Pelodiscus sinensis: one gene and its partners. The protein of the gene in region 1 purifies or fractionates together with the protein of each later gene. This does not show direct contact. Links are inferred from orthologs where the notes say so. Each region holds a gene or a part of one and is shown in the gene's direction. Other genes may lie near its edges. The genes, in order: TOM1, CUEDC1 and ZFYVE16.

Region 1 (3,747 bases):
TGTGTTGCAAGCAAAATAGTACTGGTGGTTCAGGATCAGTATGGTAAAACTGCCTGTTACAGAAAAAACAGGAATAGTACATATTGTCATAGTCTTTAAAAATTCTGTTTTCAGTTGAGAAACTCATGGGTCAGTTTCAGCCTCAAAACTTGTGATAGTTTGTCAACCTGTCAACCCTTGATATTGCAGAATATGACACTTCACTAACCCTCCTTATATTTCAACACAAGTTGACAAGAGAGAAATTTTAAAATACTTAACCACCTACCAAAACACATTTCACGATTCCACGAAAACCACTGCCTTATGTTCTACTTTGAGAGCTATTTAACATATATAGGCAGAAACATACATGCTGCAGGTGGTTGTCCTTTCCTCCTACTGTCACATAAGATGTTAGTTTATCATTTTTTTACATGATTAACTGATAAGCCTGCATTTACCGGTTACTCCAAATGACTACATGCACAACCCCAGTTTGCTGCTCTGTATCAGAGGTAATGTGAGGAGAGGTGGGAACTGGTGCTGGTTCCCTCAGAGCTGCCTCCCACAGAGGCAGCACCAGCACTGGGGGAAGTGCTTATTCATCCTGACAGGAAGTTTTTCCTAATGTCCATCCTAAACCTTGCTGCAATTTAAGTTTCTTGTCCTATAATCAAAGGTTAAGGAGAATAATTTTTCTCCCTTCTTGTAATACCCTTTTAGATACTTGAAAACGGCTATCATGTCCCCGCTTTGTCTTCCCTTTTCTATACTGAATAAACCTAATTATTTGTCTTTTACTGGATCTTGAATTATTTGGGGGCATTGTAATGTGATGAGGTGACCCCGGGTTCATTATTGCCCCATATTATGCCTTCACCAGGAAAATGAAAGCCTTTAGACCCACAGTCTAAAACAGGACTACGTAGCACTTTATAGACTAACAAGATGCTTTATTAGATCAAATCTGAGGAAGTGGGACTGGCCCACAAAAGCTCATCACCTAATAAACCATCTTGTTAGTCTTTAAAGTGCTACATAGTCCTGTTTTTTGTTTCACCTGCAGCAGACTAGCAGGGCTACATCTCTATTACTAGTCTAAAACAGGTGAGAGGAAGAATATCCCTTGTGTAGGAGAGTTCTGCTGTGCTCTAATCCACATGTAGCATGGAGGTGGGGTCAGATGATGCCTAATCTACTCCTTGAGGTGGGGGAGAACAGGGCCATGAGGTCTTTGTGGGTGAGGGAAAAGGGGGGGATGGAGGGTCACGTGTAGGAGCAGATAAAACTCAGGTAGGAGCGGCCAGGTCGATGGGGGGGGGGGGGTAGGTAGGGGACGAGGAGTAAAGAGCTTATTTCACAGTCCCCTGGTAAGCCTGTAGCATATTTGCCTCTGCAGTGACGACATAGTGTGAGGTCACGAGCCTAGCTTTGTGACGTCACAGTGTCCGCTTGTGCTACGGGCCCGCCCCTCCCTCCGCGCCTCCCGCAGACCGGCGCTCTCCGCCGGGCACGCCCTGGAAGGACAGAACGCCGCCTGCTTTCGTCACGCGTAGGCGGGGCGGCCAGGCACACCCCGTCCCGAGCCCGAGGGGGGGTCACGTGACGGGCGCCCGTGTCAGCTGATACCGGGCCGTGCGGCGGCGGCGATGGACTTTCTCCTGGGCAACCCCTTCAGCTCCCCTGTGGGGCAGCGCATCGGTGAGTCCCTCTGCCCCCTTCGCCCCCTCCCCCCGCCAAGTCAGCCCCCTCCTCTGGGGAGCAGCAGCGACAGCAGCTGGGTAGGCGCGCGCGGCTGGGCGGGTCCCACAGCCTCCTCGCAGGATTGACACAGTTCCGGCCAATAGAGAGGCGAGACTGATTTGACTGACGAGCGCCGGCGGCTAATGGGGGCAGGCGGGAAGGCGGGCCACGGGGGGGCCATGGGGCCAGCCAATCCCCGTGCACGGGGGTCTCGGAAGTTTTCTTATTTAAAGGGGCCCGGTGGCCAGAGCCGAGCCCTGTGCGAGGCGGCGGGGGCTGCGGATGGATGTGCCGCGTCACAGCACCGCGAGGCCTCCCCCTGACCCTGGCGACCCTACAATAACAACCCGGACTAGGGTTGCCAGCTCCCCCGGAGCGCCCGAGAGTCTGCAGCAGCTGAAGCCTAGTACTGTGCAGTCACAGATGTTACTTGTCATGTGATGGAACCTCCAGGAATATGTCCAACTACAATGGGCACCCTAGCAGGGACTACAGGCAACTAACTGAGTGTTGCCTGTGCTCCCACGTCAAGTAGAGGTGGCTGTAGCAGCAGCAGAAGGGTTCTTGGGGAACAGCCTGTGGGTGTCAGTTGTAGGGAGGAGAGCAGGTACCAGGGGAACTGTAATCTGCTCCCTGCCCTTGGAGCCACCCATCCCCATCAGTGCAATGACCTGGGTGGTGTCCCTGCTAGTTTGGAGGGGAAGAACACGTACTTATTCTGGCTTCACAGTTAGCTCTTCAGGGCAAGGGTTGTACATGCTTCGCTAAGTTTATGACACTAATAACCACATGTACCTGGCCTCACTGTTCAGGCTAATTCTTACTGAGCTCCTTGCACCCTCCATCTCCTTGTGGAGTTAGTCTTCTCCCTCCCTCTCTCCCCGGCCCCAAGACCCGTGATCAGCATTGTTAGAAATCCATGGAAAGCTTTGGCAAAAATCTGGAATTTTTAACAGGGAGGTTTTGTTTGCATTTTCTAATCTGTTTAACTGAACTCTTTTAATTAGGGCATCTTCCTCATCTGAAGAATGGGCTTATTCAGTGTAAACATGTTGGCTACGTCTAGACTGGAATGATTTTCCGCAAATGCTTTTAACAGAAAAGTTTTTCTGTTAAAAGCATTTGCGGAAAAGAGCGTCTAGATTGGCACGGATGCTTTTCCGCAAAAGCACTTTTTTGCAAGAAAGCCCCAATCGCCATTTGCGCAAGAGGGCTTTTGCCTGAACGGGAGCAGCATAGCATTTCCGCAAGAACACTGACAATCTTACATGAGATCATCAGTGTTCTTGTGGAAATTCAAGCGGCCAGTGTAGACAGCTGGCAAGTTTTTCCGCAAAAGCAGCTGCTTTTGTGGAAAATCTTTCCAGTCTAGACACAGCCGTTATGTTTCAGCAATATATTGATTTCCACTAATTGAATTAATTATTAGCCAGAGTTTTTGAAAGATTGGGGCCTTTTCTATAGCACCATGGTTTTACCCCAGTGCTTTATGAATAGATGAATTATTCCCTGCCCTATCAAGTTTTTAGGAAGGCAAGATATCAAAGGCATAAATGCATCTAAGAACTTCCAGATAAATAGGATCTGATCCAGTATAAGACCTTGCAAATCTAGAAAGAACAGCATTCTTCTTAGTCTTTTGGTTGAGTTTAACTAAAGAAAGGGAGGAAACTAATATACAATAAACTAAAACAACAAGAAATTGGAAAATTGAGAGAAAGTACAAAGAAGGACTGGAGAAACAAAGCTGGAAGGGAAAAATACGTTTTTAAAAGTATTTAACAAAGTTTTAATGTAGAATGATTTTTATAAAGACTTTATCTGCTTGTATGGTGTAATATTTTTTACTTTTTCAGGGAAACCTTGTATCTCTGGGCGGGGGAGTAAGTCTGTCCTTGGTTTCTGGTCCTTTGCTTGTTTACCTATCAGTTCCACAATGTTGCGTCTCAGACTGTAATCTTCTGCAGACTTTCTTTGACAGCCTGACGAAGTCACTCACTAATTGAAACTGTGATATTAATG
Region 2 (3,747 bases), on another chromosome or scaffold:
TTTGCAAGGAGGAAGGCTGTGCAGTCCTAAATCTCTGAATCCCTCCTTCAGTGGTTAATTTCAGGGCCATGTTTTTGGTTCATTGTGTTTTCCATAAGTAACCACAACACAATATCATGCCATACAAATATTTGCTCTCAACCACTGTTCCTGGTAAGCTGTGCACTTGTGTAGCCGGCCAGGAGAGACTCCAATTCTGCTCAGCTGATTAGAAGAGCACTCACAGCTAGGTTTTTTGTTTCTACAGGTGATGCACATTTGCACATGCCTCAGTGCACATAAAAATGTATTCTGCACATGGCTGGAAAAGATTAGAGGGAACATTGCTGTCAAGTACAATATAGCACCTACTGCTTAGCAACAGGTCCCGGGAGGTAGGCCCACCTGAATGTTCATCAAGACCAGTGATGGGCAATCTGCAGCCCGAGGGTCACTTGCAGCCCATCAGGGTTCTGTGTACAGACCGCAAGCCATTTTGTTTGCCCCTGCTCGCACGCAGGGTTGCCTGATTCTGCTGGTTTCTGGCCGTGTCATTTTTCCCCCCAATGGATTGCACTAAAAGATGACACACAAAGTAAAGCAAGGACACATGATGAGCACGCCGCACTGACGGCGAGAGCTGGGCGCTCCTTCGGCACCCAGCCAAAGCGCTGCTCCGGTTCAGTGGGCGCGCCCCACGAACGCCAGGTACGCGCAGTGGGCGCACCCCACGAAAGCTAGGTACGCGCAGTGGGCGCACCCCATGAACGCCAGGTACGCGCAGTGGGCGCACCTCACGAACGCCAAGTTCGCGCAGTGGGCGCACCCCACGAACGCCAAGTTCGCGCAGTGGGCGCACCCCACGAACGCCAAGTTCGCGCAGTGGGCGCACCCCATGAACGCCAGGTACGCGCAGTGGGCGCACCTCACGAACACCAGGTACGCGCAGTGGGCGCACCTCACGAACACCAAGTTCGCGCAGTGGGCGCACCCCACGAACGCCAGGTACGCGCAGTGGGCGCACCCCACGAAAGCTAGGTACGCGCAGTGGGCGCACCCCATGAACGCCAGGTACGCGCAGTGGGCGCACCTCACGAACGCCAGGTACGCGCAGTGGGCGCGCCCCACGAATGCCAGGTACGCGCAGTGGGCGCGCCCCACTAATGTTAGGTACACGCAGAGGGCATACCCCACGAGTGCCAGGAACGCGCAGTGGGCGCACCCCACGAATGCCAGGAACGCCAGCGCAATTAGCAAAGCCACCCTAACCCAGCAGCCTAGGCAATGTGGGGCCCCCTGAGAGGAAGGCGGGCCACTTCCACAGCCCACTCCTCGGCCATCGCTGGACCCTGGAGAAGTGGTTTTACCTCAGCCGCCTTCATTGCCCTTCTGTGCCAGGGGGACGGTAGCTCCCTGCCCCATGGGCGCGTCCCCGGCTAGGCACCCCCCCCCCCAGTCAGGAAATCCCAGGGCCCAGCCCCACGGCGGGCAGGGCAAGGGGACTCTCCTCTGCACTTCAGGCAGCCGGCCGCTAGGAAGCCGCCGGGCTGGCCTTTCCCTCCCGCGCTGGCGCTCGAGCCCTGGCCGTTTCCGAGGCGCCCGCCCTCCCCCACTCGCTCCTTCTCCCCAACCGCCCCCCCCCCCCGCCCCCGGCCTCCGAGCTGCGCTGGCGGCGTGCGGGGAGCTGGGAGCCCAACGGCCAGGCAGCTCCTCTCGCGCGCCCGCCCGCCCGCCAACGGCTCCCCGCTCCTCCGGCTGCGGGCGGGCTCGGCGCCCGCCTCTGCCCCGACAGCCCGGGGAGCAGCCGCGGCGGCCGGCAGGCGGGTAAGGAAGGCAGGCGCTGCCCGTCGCGGGGAGGGGGGCTGCCTTTGTGCGCCGAGCCAGCCCGCTCCGCAGGGCAGTGCCAAGGCGGAGCCGGCCGGGCACAGGCCCTCTCCGGGCTGGGCTGTGCCCGCCGCCGCGAGCGGCTTTTCTTAGGGGGGGGGGGGTGATTTTCCAGGCTGTCCCCGCCTGGCCAGGGCGGGATGGGAAGGGGGCGGGGGGAGGTTAGGGTGAGGGGCGCGGCTGGGGTGGGGGGGACTTCTTCAGGCGCGGGGGCACCTTTCCCTTCCTGCGGATCATGGGCTCCGTCTCTGGCACCGCCCCCCCTTAGCTGGCTCCATGCGGGAGCGTCCCCCCCCCCCCGCCCGTTGGATCCCGCTGGGACCCCCGCTTGCAGGGGCGCCCCCCGGGAAGCTTCGCCCTTCTGTCTGCCAGCAGGCGGCTGCCCCCTCCCCCCAACCTCTCCACGCCTTCTCTGGAGCCTGACTCAAGGTTAGCCCGGCTTTATTTACAGGTTGTTCTGAAGCGGCGTTTCTCCGTGTCATTGTGTTGGAAATAGATACAGTTATCACAGACCACCACCAAAAAAAAGAAAAGAAAAAAGTTGCATGAGTGGCAGTCCAGTCCGAAAACCTGGCTTTGGTGTTTTGGCTATGGAGGCAGTCTAGTTTTAGAACTCGGGCTGTTGGTTTTCATTGGTGACAGCAGAGGAATGAGACATGTTTTAAGGAGGGGAAGAAGTTGCCGTGTTGTTCATTGTTGCTATGTCTTCGAGGCGTACTCCTGCCCATTTAAGATCAACTGATCAAGTAACCTGTGCGTTTTCTATCACCTTGGACTAGTGCGTTGCTAATGGTTGCTAAAAGTTGCCTTTTAGTAAATACAGACGTTCAGTCATGTGGCAAATGGACTTATTCATATTTTCCACATCTGAAGAGGTGGGTTTTGCCCATGAAAGCTCATGATACTCTATGGCTACGTCTACACTGGCCCCTTTTCCGGAAGGGGCATGTTAATTTCAGAGATCGTAATAGGGAAATCCGCGGGGGATTTAAATATCCCCCGCGGCATTTAAATAAAAATGTCCGCCGCTTTTTTCCGGCTTTTAGAAAAGCCAGAAAAGAGCGTCTACACTGGCCCCGATCCTCTGGAAAAAGCGCCCTTTTCCGGAGGATCTTATTCCTACTTCAAAGTAGGAGGAATAAGATCCTCCGGAAAAGGGCGCTTTTTCTGGAGGATCGGGGCCAGTGTAGATGCTCTTTTCCGGCTTTTCTAAAAGCCGGAAAAAAGCGGCGGACATTTTTATTTAAATGCCGCGGGGGATATTTAAATCCCCCGCGGATTTCCCTATTACGATCTCTGAAATTAACATGCCCCTTCCGGAAAAGGGGCCAATGTAGACGAGCCCTATATGTTTGTTTGTCTCTTCTAAGGTGTCACAGGACCACTGGTTGTTTTATTCAATGTTTTGTTTGCTTTCCAGTTGTACTCTTATGGCCCAAATAGTTTCTAATTGCCTGAATCACCTTAAGCCAATCAGAATGCTGCATTTGTTACTGTACTGCTGTTGCACATTTGTTTGTCCTGACAAAGTAACACACCATGAAACCATATGTTAGGCTATAAATAAAGTAATTGCTGTAGGATAAATGTGTGCCACCCTTACAATATATATGGTCAAATTGCTGTCAAAAGCTTCTGATGAAATACTGTCTTTGCCATGGTGTTGAGTAAGTGATATGAAACCATTATCCTGCAACATAATTGCATGGATGGTCCTATCTCAATGAAATTGTTTTCATTCAATCAGGTCACCATATGGTTGACCTATATATCTGGATTAAAAACCAAAATTTCAGCAACAAAAATGTGATGTATTCAGGGAAAAATACAGTGAAAGTCTTGTAGTAGGTAAATGAAGATAGATTTTTAGTTCCAGTTTGCTTG
Region 3 (3,747 bases), on another chromosome or scaffold:
GCGGCCGCCCAGGACCTCGCGCTTAAAAAAGCCCTGCGCATGCGCCGTGGCGCCACCGCGTATGCGCATGGCGTCACGGCGCATGCGCCGTGGCAAAGGGGGGACCCCGTGGAGTTACGCTGCCTGGGGCCCCGCAAAACAGTCATCTGCCCCTGATAGGACGGTACCTGTAAGAAATGTGAAGTTATTTTCACTGCTGATGGCCAATTTGAATCACCTAGGCTATGTCTACACTCGCGGCTTCTTGTGCGAGTAATATGCAAATGAGGTAAGCGTGGAATATCGCCAAGCCTCATTTGCATACCTAATGAGCCACCACTTTCAGAAGAAGCTCTTGCTCAAGAAGGAGTGTCTACACTACTCCTTGCGCAAAAAAAACATCTTGCGCAATGCCGTTATGCCTATTACTTTTCAGGAAACAGGCGTAATGGCATTGTGCAAGAGAGTTTTTCTTGTGCAAGAAGGGGCAGTGGAGACGCTCCTTGCGCAAGAGTCTCTTCTGAAAGTGGTGGCTCATTAGGTATGCAAATGAGGCTTGGCGATATTCCACGCTTAGCCTCATTTGCATATTACTCGCGCAAGAAGCCGCCAGTGTCGACATAGCCCTAGTGTCTCATTTTTCATATAGTAGAGCACAACTCCTATTGACTTCTCCTGTAGCTGTAAATAGAGAAGAACAGTGAGAATTCGGGGTTTTGGTTTCCACACCAGATTCAGTATACTAGTGTGCTCTAATGTTCACAGATTTTTTGCCTCTCTCTCAGCCAACCCTTCTCCCTGTTTTGTCCCCCCCCCCCTCCCCGCTCCTAAACTCTGGCTAAGGCTCTATTCTAGTCCCTTCATCCAGTCTTTCCTAATCTCCCCTCTTCTCCTCCCCGTTTCCTTGCCCAGGGGCAGGGACCCTTGAAAAAATAGTTATCATCATGCAATTACAGTCTGCATCACTAAACATTCACACATAGGGAACAAAATAAGGGCGTACAGACAATCCTAATTGCGGCAATTTCTAATGTGCTTTGAGTTTGAAACCCGTTCCGACTAGTCTTTTAACATAGACTTTGGTGCATAATTTATACTGAAACTGTTTACTCCGAGTTACAGGAACTGAGGGCTTCTCCTCCTACTAATCTTGCACTGACATTTTGACAGCTGCTGTAGCGAAGCCATGCCCAGTGCTGTGAGGGCCCTCGGAGATCAGTTTCCCTGTGTGTGCCACTAAGCCCATTAATGACATTTTAACTGACCGGGTGTGAGAACAGAGCGGTGACCCGTCTGGAGTCAGCTGCCCCGCAGCAGCAGTACATCTGGAACTGAGGGCTGATTTTGCTAAGGGAGCCCAGTCGCTCAGCTCTGCAGCGCCTCCTGTGCCCGGGCGTGGCTCTGTGGGCGCAGCAGGAGACTCTCGAGGAACTCGACTCACGGGAGCCAAAACTGTCCCCCCCCCCCCATAAAAGGGAAGAGGAGGATTCTGCGCAAGCGCAGAAATGACGTTCCAAGGAACGGTCGTAGCCTCCGCCTGGCCAAGGAGAGCCGGGCTCTGCGCATGCGCGGAGAAACCCGAGCGAGTCCCGTGAAAACGCAAACAAGCGGCGGTGGCTGTCGCTTTCTGCAGGGCCGCCGTCCTGGAGCCAGCGGGGGAGGGGCGCCTGCCTATCTATGCGGTGAGTGAGGCGGCGCAGGGCCCAGGCTCCTGGCGGGGGACCCGGGAGGGGGGGATCGGCCCTTTGTGTTGAGGGGCAGCGAAGAAGCTTCCCTGACCCGGGTCGCGCCGCGTCTTTGGGGCGGGGCCGGGCCTCTCCCCTCCCCTCCCCCCTATTATAGTGGGGAGACGGGAGTTCCGCCCGCCCTGAGGGGCCTGTGGGGCAGGCAGGGCGCGTCCCGGCGGGACGGGGGTGGTGGGGACCGGGTGGGGGAGAGTCAGGGGGCGAGACTCTTCGCAACTTGCTGTGCTTCGCTCGTTGGACTGGCCAACAGCCCCGGGAAAGCTGCCCCAGTGGGTGCGCGCCCCTGGCATTGTGTCCGTGTGTGTGTGGGGGGGTCTGTCTGTGCCGCCTCGCCTCCCTAGCTTGCCCCAGGCCTGGGCTCTCCCTTCCACCTTCGTGCAGGCTTTTGAATGTCCCCAGTGCAGGGAGACCCCTGACTGCTGCGGGATCACAGGATAATGTTTCCTGTTCTTTTTCTTTGTGGCCCCAGTTTCAGCTGGCTTCTCTTTCTTACAGCACTTAGGCTACAGTGGTTCCTAAACTTTTTGGCATCATGCCCCCTTTTTGAGAAATCCTGAGGCCTCCTCCCCCCAAGACAGCAGGAAAACTTAAGCCAAAAAAAAAGAAAAGAACTGACCAGGGCAGCGAAACTTGATGGGGTGGAAGGGCTGGGTTGCCTCGCACCCTCACTGAAATTTCTTTACACGTCCCCCCAAGGGGGCACGCCACCAGTTTGGGAACCCATGATAGACTATAAGCCTCTTTCAAAAAATCTGTGTGTAGTTTACACCCTCTCTTTCGAAAGTCTAGACGCTTTCTTTCGAAAAAGCACAGTTTGCATTCAATAGTGCCTTTTTCCTCATAGAATGAGGTTTACCACGATTGAAAAAACTGCCGCGTTCTTTCAATTTACTTTTGAAAGAATGCAGCTGCAGTCTAGACACAGGTGATTTTTTTTTCACGAAAACCCTGTAGTCTAGACCAGTGTTTCCCAATTTTATTTGGCCATGGAACCCCTTTCAGAATTTCAAGGAACCCCTAGGTTTGTTAAGAAAAAAAAAGGGGGGGGGCGATTCATAAAAATCACATTCCTTCCCCAAGACCCCGCACCCCTTCCTTGAGGCCTCATTCTCTCTGTTCCCCTCCTCTCCATCACTTGCTGTCCCCAGCCCTTATATACTCTCACTAGGTTGAGACAGGAAGTGCAGGCTCTGGGGTGGGAATGAGAGATTTGGGTGTGGGAAGGGGTGAGAATTCTAAGCTGTGGGAGGGAATTTGGATGCAGGAGAAGGGGATGTTGGCCTGGGGAGTGTTGGGCTCAGGTGGAAAGTTGGGGTGCTGAGCAAGCCATGGGCTTGTGGATGTGAGGGTGCAGGAGTTTGGGCTGGATATGTGAGGGGCTCAGGGCAGGAGGCTGTGAGTATGATGAGCTCAGGACACAGATTTGTGATGTGTGAATGGTGCAGGAGTGTTGTGGCAGAAGACTGAGGATGTGGGGGTGCAGGAATTTGGAGATGTAAGAGTCTCAGGACAGGGGGGTTCCAGTGTTATGATAGGCTCAGATTTGGGGTCAAGTGGTGCAGGAGTGTTACGGTACTGCAGTGAGATGGGGGTTTGGCCCCTGTTGGTCAGGCTTCATTTCTAAATAAAATATTGTGTTAATCTCAAAAGTTTTTAGCATTGTCTTTATTTACGAGAGGGGTGAGGAACCAGGAAAGTCAGTCCCGAAAGCCTCTAAGCCTTACTAATGTGGTCCCAACTGTGCTAGTGGGTGCTGGAGCTGGGGAGAGGGTGCTGCTGGGTGTCAGGATGCTGGCTCAGGTGGCGGGGTGCTGGGGTCAGGGACATGGTCCTGCTGGGCACTGAGGTGGCTGGCAGGGTGCTGGCATAAGGAACAGGGTGCTGCTGGGTTCTAGGGGGGATGGCAGGGTGCTGGGGCTGGGGCCAGGGCCAGGGTGGTGCTGGGTCCTGGGGTGGGTGGCAGGGTTCTGGGGCCAGGGTGCTGCTGGGTCCTGGGGTGGGTGGCAGGGTGCTGCTGGGTGCT

What was found.
Region 2: the proteins of TOM1 (region 1) and CUEDC1 purify together in Homo sapiens (co-immunoprecipitation; 3 studies listed by BioGRID and IntAct, with this or other methods). This does not show direct contact. The link is inferred for Pelodiscus sinensis from reciprocal best matches to the Homo sapiens genes TOM1 and CUEDC1.
Region 3: the proteins of TOM1 (region 1) and ZFYVE16 purify together in Homo sapiens (affinity purification with western blotting; 3 studies listed by BioGRID and IntAct, with this or other methods). This does not show direct contact. The link is inferred for Pelodiscus sinensis from reciprocal best matches to the Homo sapiens genes TOM1 and ZFYVE16.

The regions. Positions count from the first base shown.
Region 1 is NC_134711.1:94,115,228-94,118,974, reverse strand, and holds the start of TOM1 (target of Myb1 membrane trafficking protein), read left to right. Parts: upstream 1-1,474; 5' UTR 1,475-1,631; coding exon 1,632-1,683; intron 1,684-3,747.
Region 2 is NC_134731.1:9,402,514-9,406,260, forward strand, and holds the start of CUEDC1 (CUE domain-containing protein 1), read left to right. Parts: upstream 1-1,454; 5' UTR 1,455-1,803; intron 1,804-2,170; exon of another isoform or gene 2,171-2,292; intron 2,293-3,747.
Region 3 is NC_134716.1:81,456,747-81,460,493, reverse strand, and holds the start of ZFYVE16 (zinc finger FYVE domain-containing protein 16), read left to right. Parts: upstream 1-1,504; 5' UTR 1,505-1,661; intron 1,662-3,747.